Linked DNA regions of Elephas maximus indicus. Each later gene encodes a partner of the first gene's protein in a complex. Links are inferred from orthologs where the notes say so. Each region holds a gene or a part of one and is shown on either strand. Other genes may lie near its edges.

Region 1 (3,747 bases):
GCTCCCCCGACCAAGCTGTCAGGGAAAATCCTCTTGCCAGTGTGTACCACATCTGCCTCTGCCCCAGTGACAGTGACTGTATATGCCTGCTGGCAGGGCTACCCAGGACAGGATAGAGCCAGTATGTGGGTGGGGCAGCAGGCGGGCTCTGGCTGGGAGGGAAGGCTGGCAAATGCCCAGCCTGAGTCCCGTTGCCTGGACAGTCTCTTCCGCTATGTGGGACAGGTGCCCAGTAGTCTGAACTTGCCACAACTGGGCACCCATTACCATCTTGTACCTGGATAGGGAAGGCTCAGTGGTGACTCCTCCCCAGGCAGTCGTGGCAGATCAGGTCCTCAATTTCAGGTAGAGCTTGGTCTCCCAGACCCTTACAGAGCACCCTCTGCAGGGTCCTTCTAGCTCCCACTTCACACCCTCAACAAGAACCTTCATGAGGCCCTATTTTCCCTGACCTGGGCCCAGGCACTTCTATGGCACTCCTCTGGCTCAAGCCCAGAAAGCCCATTTCACAGAGGAAGCAAAGGCCTAAGGTGCAGGATGCTGGGTTGGATTCCCCAGGCTAAAAAGTGCTAAGCTGGCCCCTGTACCCCTGACTGCTAACATCCCAATGTGGGAGGTGTTGCTGGGTCCCACCTGGCCTGCCCCAAAAGCACAGCTGGGCTTCAAGGGACAAGGTCGGCAGGATGGGGGGCCCTTCCGGGGTCAGGACAGAACAGGCAAGGAGCCCTGTACTCTGCTCCCCCTCTTCGCCCCCCACCGCACCATGACCCAGCCCAGCAGTCTTCTCAGCCACCATAATGACCACAATCAACCCAGGAAGAAGCTGGCTAGAGGCTCTGGTCTGGGCACTGGGAGGCAGCAGTACCGGAAGCATCCTCCCCAGGCCCGGCAGGCAGAAGAGACGGGCATTTCACTGCGTCGACACCCACTCACTGCGGCCGCACTCGCAGCAGCAGAGACAGGAAGAGGCAAGCGCCCAACGCAAAGCAGCCCAGGAGGCTGGGCCGCCGCCCCTTCCCGCCCCTTCTCTTCCTCCCCGCGGCGGCAACGGAGCGGATGCCATTTTGAAACCTCGGGGCCGTGCCCCCGAGGCTGGGCCCTCAGGGACAGTCAACAGATGGGCCTATGATGGACAGACACACTGTCTCTCAGCCACAAGCACTGCCTGAAAATCCCAGGTTTTCATAGCCTGGGGACCCCAAGGCGACTGGGGCTAAGGGGCCACACCCCCGCCACACACACACTGTCCAGCCTCCAACGCCACTGCAGGGGCCTCCTTAACCCCCTACCCTGAAAGCACGAAACCGCTGGGCCCCACACCTGCCCCCGTGGCAGGTTAGACAGGGATGCACACTGGGCCCACATCTCGGCAAAAGGCTGGTTCAGATGATCAGAGACATCCTGGCCTACCCTCAGCAGCCCCCAGCTCCTCATTCAGCTGGTCCACTACACTCCCCTTACAGGGCCCCAAGATCCAACAGGGTCACTCTCTCCCAGAGGCTGAGTCCCAGCCCTTCGGCCCTGAAGTGCAGCTTTGGGAAGCCCATCATCGTCAGCAGATTTCCTTGGCCTGCCCGCAGGGGCAGCAATATGTCGGCTGTCTCACCACTTCCACTTCCCCCCACTCCTCGAGCAGCCACCATCTTCCCTGGCCTTGGAGGCGGTCTCAATCCTTACTACGCACACCCCCCCCCCATTCCCCAGACACCCAGGCATCCCTCCCTGGCCTCCCCCCTCGCCGGCCGGGATGAGGCTTAGAAACTTGAAAACATATAGCAAGCGGAACCTTCCGGGAGGCTTGAGGACTGGCCCCTGTCTGAGCCTGGCCCTTGGGGGCCTTGCTCCAGTTCCTTGGGGGTTTGCCTAACCCAGCCTGGGTGGTCCCTAGCCCCTGGGCTCCCTCCTTTCAGCCCAGCCTACCTGGTGCAGGGGAGGTGGAGGAACCTGGGGAAGGCCACTGAGTGGGAGGGGATTTAGGGGAGGGGAAGCAGAGCACTGCAGTAGTGATGCCTGCAAAAGGGGACTTGAGGGTCGGAGACCAGGGGCCTCTGCACATTTGGGAGTTCTGGCTGAAGAGGGCCCATGAGCAGTTACGGGCTCTCACTTGAGAGGTCCCTTGGGGTTGGAGGGTACAGGTGGAGGATATAGAGTCTAGAGTAGAAATGGGACACAGATCGGAAAGGAGTGGATGGGCGCCTGGGAAGGTCTGGGGATGCTCATGCTCAATAGAAATATGGGGGAGCAGGTGGGGAAAACAGGTAAAGCTTGAGGGTAGGGCTGGGTGGGGTTCTGGAAGGATGAAACGACAAGGCCGAGGCTCTGGGGGTATGAGAGGTTGGTCAGCAAGAGTGAATGGTCAAGAAGGGTTCTGGACAGCTGATGTTATCCGACTAGTGCCTGGGTTTGGGATTTGGGGGTCTAGGATTAGTTGGAGGGTCTGATATAGAGTCTGGGCTACCCTCAGAGGTCTAGGCAGACCCAGAGTTTCAGACCCTTATTTGGGAGTCCGGGCTAGGGTTTCAGGCCGGGCCGAGGGGCTCGAAGCCCTTGTCTGGGAGTTTGAAGTCCTTGTCTGGGGAACTGAGTGGGAATCGGGGGTTCCAACGTGGGGCGCGGCCTCACCCAGCAGCAGCAACTTCACCTCCCGCGCCGCCTTCTCGCCGTCTTCCCGCAGATTCTTGTCGATCATCTTGGAGCGCTCGGCCGCCGCCTTGTCCTCGGCGCTCACGGTGCAGCCCATCCCGCTGTCCGCCCGGCCTGGCCGCCGTCCGGCCCCCACACGGCCCCCGGCCCGGCTCGGCCCCGCCCGACCCACTCCGCTCCCGCCGCCGGCCCTCTGCGGGCAGCTCTCGGGTCGGCAGTTCCGAGCGTCTGCGGGCTGCGCCTTCTCGGCCGCGGCGCACCGACGGCGGGGCGGGCCGGGGGTGGGGCCGGGACGAGACGGGCCCGGGACTGGGCCGGGGCGGGTCCGGAGGCGGGGCCAGAGGAGACCTGGGGCCAGTGATTGGCTCGAGGGCAGAGGGAAGGGCGAAGCTAGGCGCAGCCCAGGCTCAGGCCTGGGCTGGAGGCGGAGCCGCGCCGAAGAACAGCACTAAAGGTAGAGCCCAGTCCACGACTGGGCTCCCGGCGGGCTGCCGGCGGGGCGAGGCCCCGGATGGGTTCGGAACCGAGCGCCAGGAGCTCTGAGGCCCGAAGGCGGGGCGGGCGGATCTAGTAGCCCGAGGGTGGGAATCCGGTGCATCTCGCGGGCTGGGCAGGAACCCGCCCTCCGGGCTTTTGCGAGTTGGGTGAGTGGAGTGGAGGAGGCGTGACTTCGTCACTTGCTAAAGTTATTGAATCCAATAAACTTCTTTAGGATCTAAGGAACCCTGGAGCCTCCCTGAACTACGGTTTTCTCAATCTTAAGGCAGGTTTGCCTCTTTCTTGAGTTGCAGGAAAAAAAAAAAAAGGAAAGAAAATAAAGTCAATTACCTTTACACCTTTGTCCAGGCTGTCTCCCTCAGCAAAGGTGCCTTCCTCTATTCACCCAAAGCTTATCCATCCTTCTTTGATCTGCCGGGAGGTGTCCTCCTGCAGGCAGCCATTCTGGACTCCAGCCTTGGACATGGCAACCAGGACTCAAGGGAGAGAGACAGCTGCCATAGTACTTCTGGAAACCTACGTGGCCACGATCTTATGGCCTATCCTTTCCATAGTCTGTCCACCTCTGACCATGGCCACAACCCCAAGGCCTATCCTCCCATGGCC
Region 2 (3,747 bases), on another chromosome or scaffold:
CACCTCCCAGCTACTCTTGTCCATCAAAAGGACTCATGTGCCACTTCTTCTGGAGACCCTGCTGTGACCACCTCCTCCTCACCTGTGTGTGTATATGTGTATGTACATGTATGGAGCTCTGGCGGTGCAGTCCTCACACATCAGTTTCACCACACTGTAACTGCCTCCTGCTTCTCCTGGAGGGGAGGGCTCTGCTGTCGCCAGTGTGGTCGCACAAAGTCTGTGATTACTCAGCGTTCATTGAAAGAGTGACTGCCTGCTCCTCTCACGTGCCACAGAAGCTTAGTTAATATTTTAACAAAACAAGAGTTCGTTGCATATTATCTGATCGGTTAGAACATGAAATACCATCTCACTGAAGGGACTTCTTCACTCAGAATAGCCTGTGACATGAAGACCTTTATCAATAAAAATTTTTCTTATCTAAACAGATTCTGCCTCTAATTCTATAGTAAAATCAAAACTGGTCTTCGCTTTTTTTTTCTTTTTAAACTTTTTTTTAAGTTAGCGTTCTCGGTGGGCTTCAGAAATGTACATAAATTCCGGTAAAATTTTTAAATGAGGAGCTACACAGATGTGGCTGATTTATATGATAATGTTACTGCATTTAAAAAGAAGCGAAAGCTTTAGAAATATCGAGAAACGACAAAATTGAGATGTTTCATGTCCCCTTCAGGAAGACAAAAAGTATTAGATGTTCATAAGCCGGTATATATTTTTGTGAGGGAAAAACATGTACTCTTGCCTGTTTTTTATCTATGGAGTCAAATCCAGCGATTTTGTTTCCTTTTGTATCAATCAAGGAACCCATCGGCTCGCAAGTAATGACATCACACGTCTGTTTTGGCAAAGGTAGCAGCTGCCGCACTTTGTCGATGCTTTCGGACCTCTTGTCTCCTAGCTCCTTCTAAAAGCAGAAAGAGAAAAGCAGGGCAGAAATTACAACGAAGGCAAAAGCTTAACAAGAAGGAAGTTCCCTACACTACATCTCCTTTTCTACAGCTGGGGTGTTCTTTAGCCTTGAACATGGTCTAAGAAAAGCAGCTCCAAATTACAGGGGTGAGTATGTTTCGTTTCTTCTATTTAAGCAGAAAATAGAACAAATGCAAAGGCACATGAGTCACACAACGGACATCGGTGATGCTGAACTGACAAAAATCCCAAGTAGAATTCACAGTCAGAAGGCATGAGGAGCTGCACCGTGGAAGGAAAGCTTTCTTGCATTCACAGTCAGACTACAAGGTAACGAACTGCTGGGTATTTTACTGGTAAGGTAGGCGAGATATATTGCCTTTCTTTTCCTGTTGTTAGTTTACCATTTATTGCAAAGGCTGTGTTAGCGCTTTACCAAATGGACCAGATTCGGAAGGCTCAATGAATACGGCTTTCAACTACCAGGGCCAGTCCAGGCACGGTTTTAGCCTAAATCTAATGTTTGCATTCTGCTTCTATATTTGACCATGGATTTCTCAAGTTCTTTAAAAAATTAAACATGTTGTGAATATACTTCTGTTAAAAAAAAAAAAAATCTTGAAGACTATAATGCTTATAATTTTGGGGTACTGGCAAGCTGTGACTTAAAAAAAAATTAATCCTATTAAGTTGGATGCAATCAATAACACTTAATTTACCAAGCTGTAAAATAAAACAAAAACACTATAACAAAGCCATATGTTTTCTCATAAGATAAGGAGATCACAAACTTACTTTTAGTTTCTTTACTAAATTCATGTACGCACGCTTGTTCTCTTCAGATCCCCCTGGGGATGCAGTCGATAGGTCAGAGGCTAAAGTTCCATTAATTAGAACACCCAGCATGTCAAGAACCGTTGTGAATAGTTCACTAAAGGTGAAAGAAAATAATTATTTTCATCTTAAAGCAAAACCAAGGTCCACTTAATTAACTGAGCATTCTTCTTCAAAGCACAAAAGTTTGTAATAGTATCTAAGAAAATAAGATGTAGCAGAATTTGCAGCAATGGGCCCTGGTAGCCATTCCTTGGAAACCCTATGGGGCAGTTCTATTCTGTCCTATAGGGTAGCTCTGAATCGGAATCCACTCGATGGCAATGGGTTTGGTTTTTTATATCAAAGTTTAAGGTGCCCTGGCGATGTGACAGGTAAGTGCTTGGCTGCTAACGGTGAATTCCAACCCAACCAGCCGCTACATAGGAGGAAGACCTGGTGATCTGCTCCGGTAAAGACTAGGGATGTTTTCGGTTACTAGGAAACCCTATGGGGCAGTTCTACTCTCTTACATGGGGTTGCTATGAGTGGGAATCTCAACATCACCTAACAACAACAACATATGAAAGTTTATGGCATGCACTCGGGGCAAAAGAAACGTGAAATATGAAAACCTACTTGTTGGTGTGCATGTCGACAGTTCCCGAAGTAATTATCTGAAGGAGCAGGAGAGCCCAGTCTGTTGTCCACTGGGTGCTCCTCTGCACCGTGTCAAACATTCCTCCTACCTGGCGTGGAAAACAGGACAAAAAACATCGCATTACCACTCCTGCCACTTTGTGTAGCTGGATTTCAATTAGTTAAAAAAAAAAAAAACCTCTAGTTTATGGATTATCCTGTCTTCTTTCTGTCCTTGGAAACCCTTGTGGCATAGTAGTTAAGTGCTACAGCTCCTAACCAAAGGTCAGTAGTTCGAATCCACCAGGCTCTCCCTGGACACTCTATGGGGTGGTTCTACTCTGTCCTACAGGATCGCTATGAGTCAGAATCAACTCGATGGCAATGGCTTTGGTTTTTTGTTCTTTCTCTCCTAGCTACATATTTGCCATTTCATTTTTTTAGTTCCTTTACCATAGGAAGTTGGTCATTAAAAAAAAACATGGAGGAGGTTAACGTAAGTTTTTCATTCTAGGGCCACATGGGCAGAAGTTCATACAGGTGACCAAAAGGGGATAAAAGCACAGTGCCAGGAGGTTGGCATGGCATTGGTGTAAACCGTATGCCAATGGTAGGTTTTCTTTTGTTGCTAGTATTTCAGGAGCTCCACTTTTATGATAGAAATGTAGTCTAACTGAATCTGAAGAGATCAAAACCATGTAACAGGTTATATCCAGCTTTGCGTCCGATTAAGAGTGAATCTAAGGCTCCTATCATAGTAACACTTGGAACACCCAGTAACACAGAATTAAGAATGGACAGAAGGCTTGTCCAGCAGATCTACCCATTCACATGTGGGGATCAGGTGAAAAACAACCACCAAAAACACCAAGCAAGTCAGCCTCCAGAGGAGCCTTCATTTGGACTTGTCCAATGGGAAAGGAAGAATTTAAAACAATATGCGATGGGTGAGAAATGTTGAATTTCTGTGAAGCCTCGAGGTGGAATTTATTTTGAAATGATCAGTTTGATGAAAAGTTTGACCAAATATTGACTCAAAAGGATGTTTAAAAAAATACATACAGTTAAAACTAACACATCTCAAAACCGTAGTCCTCTCAAACGTACTCTTAGCACAAACTGAAGAGGAGACAGTTCCCGGGGTGGGCTGGTGAAAAGGGCAGACCAATGCCTAAGTATCTACTACTAGAAGTCAGACCAGACAGGAAGGAAAGCAGGGAGGAAAAGAAAATGCTTGAGAGAGAGAGGGAAGTAGTCAGAGAAAGCCAACAGTAGAAGGTCTTGCCTCATACTACAGACTTTGAACATAGTGTGGAAACCGAAAGCTGGAGGTATTTTCACATGTCCATCAGTTTAATAGGAGGAAAATACTAGAAATGTCTC

Evidence for each region. The genes of interacting proteins can lie anywhere in the genome.
Region 2: the proteins of GNAI2 (region 1) and P2RY12 are in contact, whole or in part, in a cryo-EM structure (PDB 7XXI), measured with the Homo sapiens proteins. The link is inferred for Elephas maximus indicus from reciprocal best matches to the Homo sapiens genes GNAI2 and P2RY12. Residues at the interface, in NP_002061.1 of Homo sapiens: Arg24, Glu28, Ala31, Arg32, Leu195, Glu319, Ile320, Tyr321, Phe335, Phe337, Asp338, Ala339, Thr341, Asp342, Ile344, Ile345, Lys346, Asn348, Leu349, Lys350, Asp351, Cys352, Gly353, Leu354, Phe355; in NP_073625.1 of Homo sapiens: Phe59, Asp121, Arg122, Lys125, Thr126, Pro129, Phe130, Thr132, Asn134, Pro135, Ile212, Leu216, Ser219, Tyr220, Arg222, Thr223, Arg224, Val234, Lys237, Ile241, Leu301, Cys302, Lys303.

Annotation. Positions count from the first base shown.
Region 1 is NC_064838.1:54,587,876-54,591,622, reverse strand, and holds the start of GNAI2 (guanine nucleotide-binding protein G(i) subunit alpha-2), read right to left. Parts: upstream 2,861-3,747; 5' UTR 2,741-2,860; coding exon 2,623-2,740; intron 1-2,622. UniProt on the Homo sapiens protein: Guanine nucleotide-binding proteins (G proteins) are involved as modulators or transducers in various transmembrane signaling systems.
Region 2 is NC_064841.1:8,553,538-8,557,284, forward strand, and holds the start of P2RY12 (P2Y purinoceptor 12), read left to right. Parts: upstream 1-1,129; 5' UTR 1,130-1,268; intron 1,269-1,707; coding exon of another isoform or gene 1,708-1,843; intron 1,844-2,364; coding exon of another isoform or gene 2,365-2,474; intron 2,475-3,747. Other genes in the region: MED12L (mediator of RNA polymerase II transcription subunit 12-like protein), read right to left, coding at 746-907, 1,708-1,843, 2,365-2,474. UniProt on the Homo sapiens protein: Receptor for ADP and ATP coupled to G-proteins that inhibit the adenylyl cyclase second messenger system. Not activated by UDP and UTP. Required for normal platelet aggregation and blood coagulation.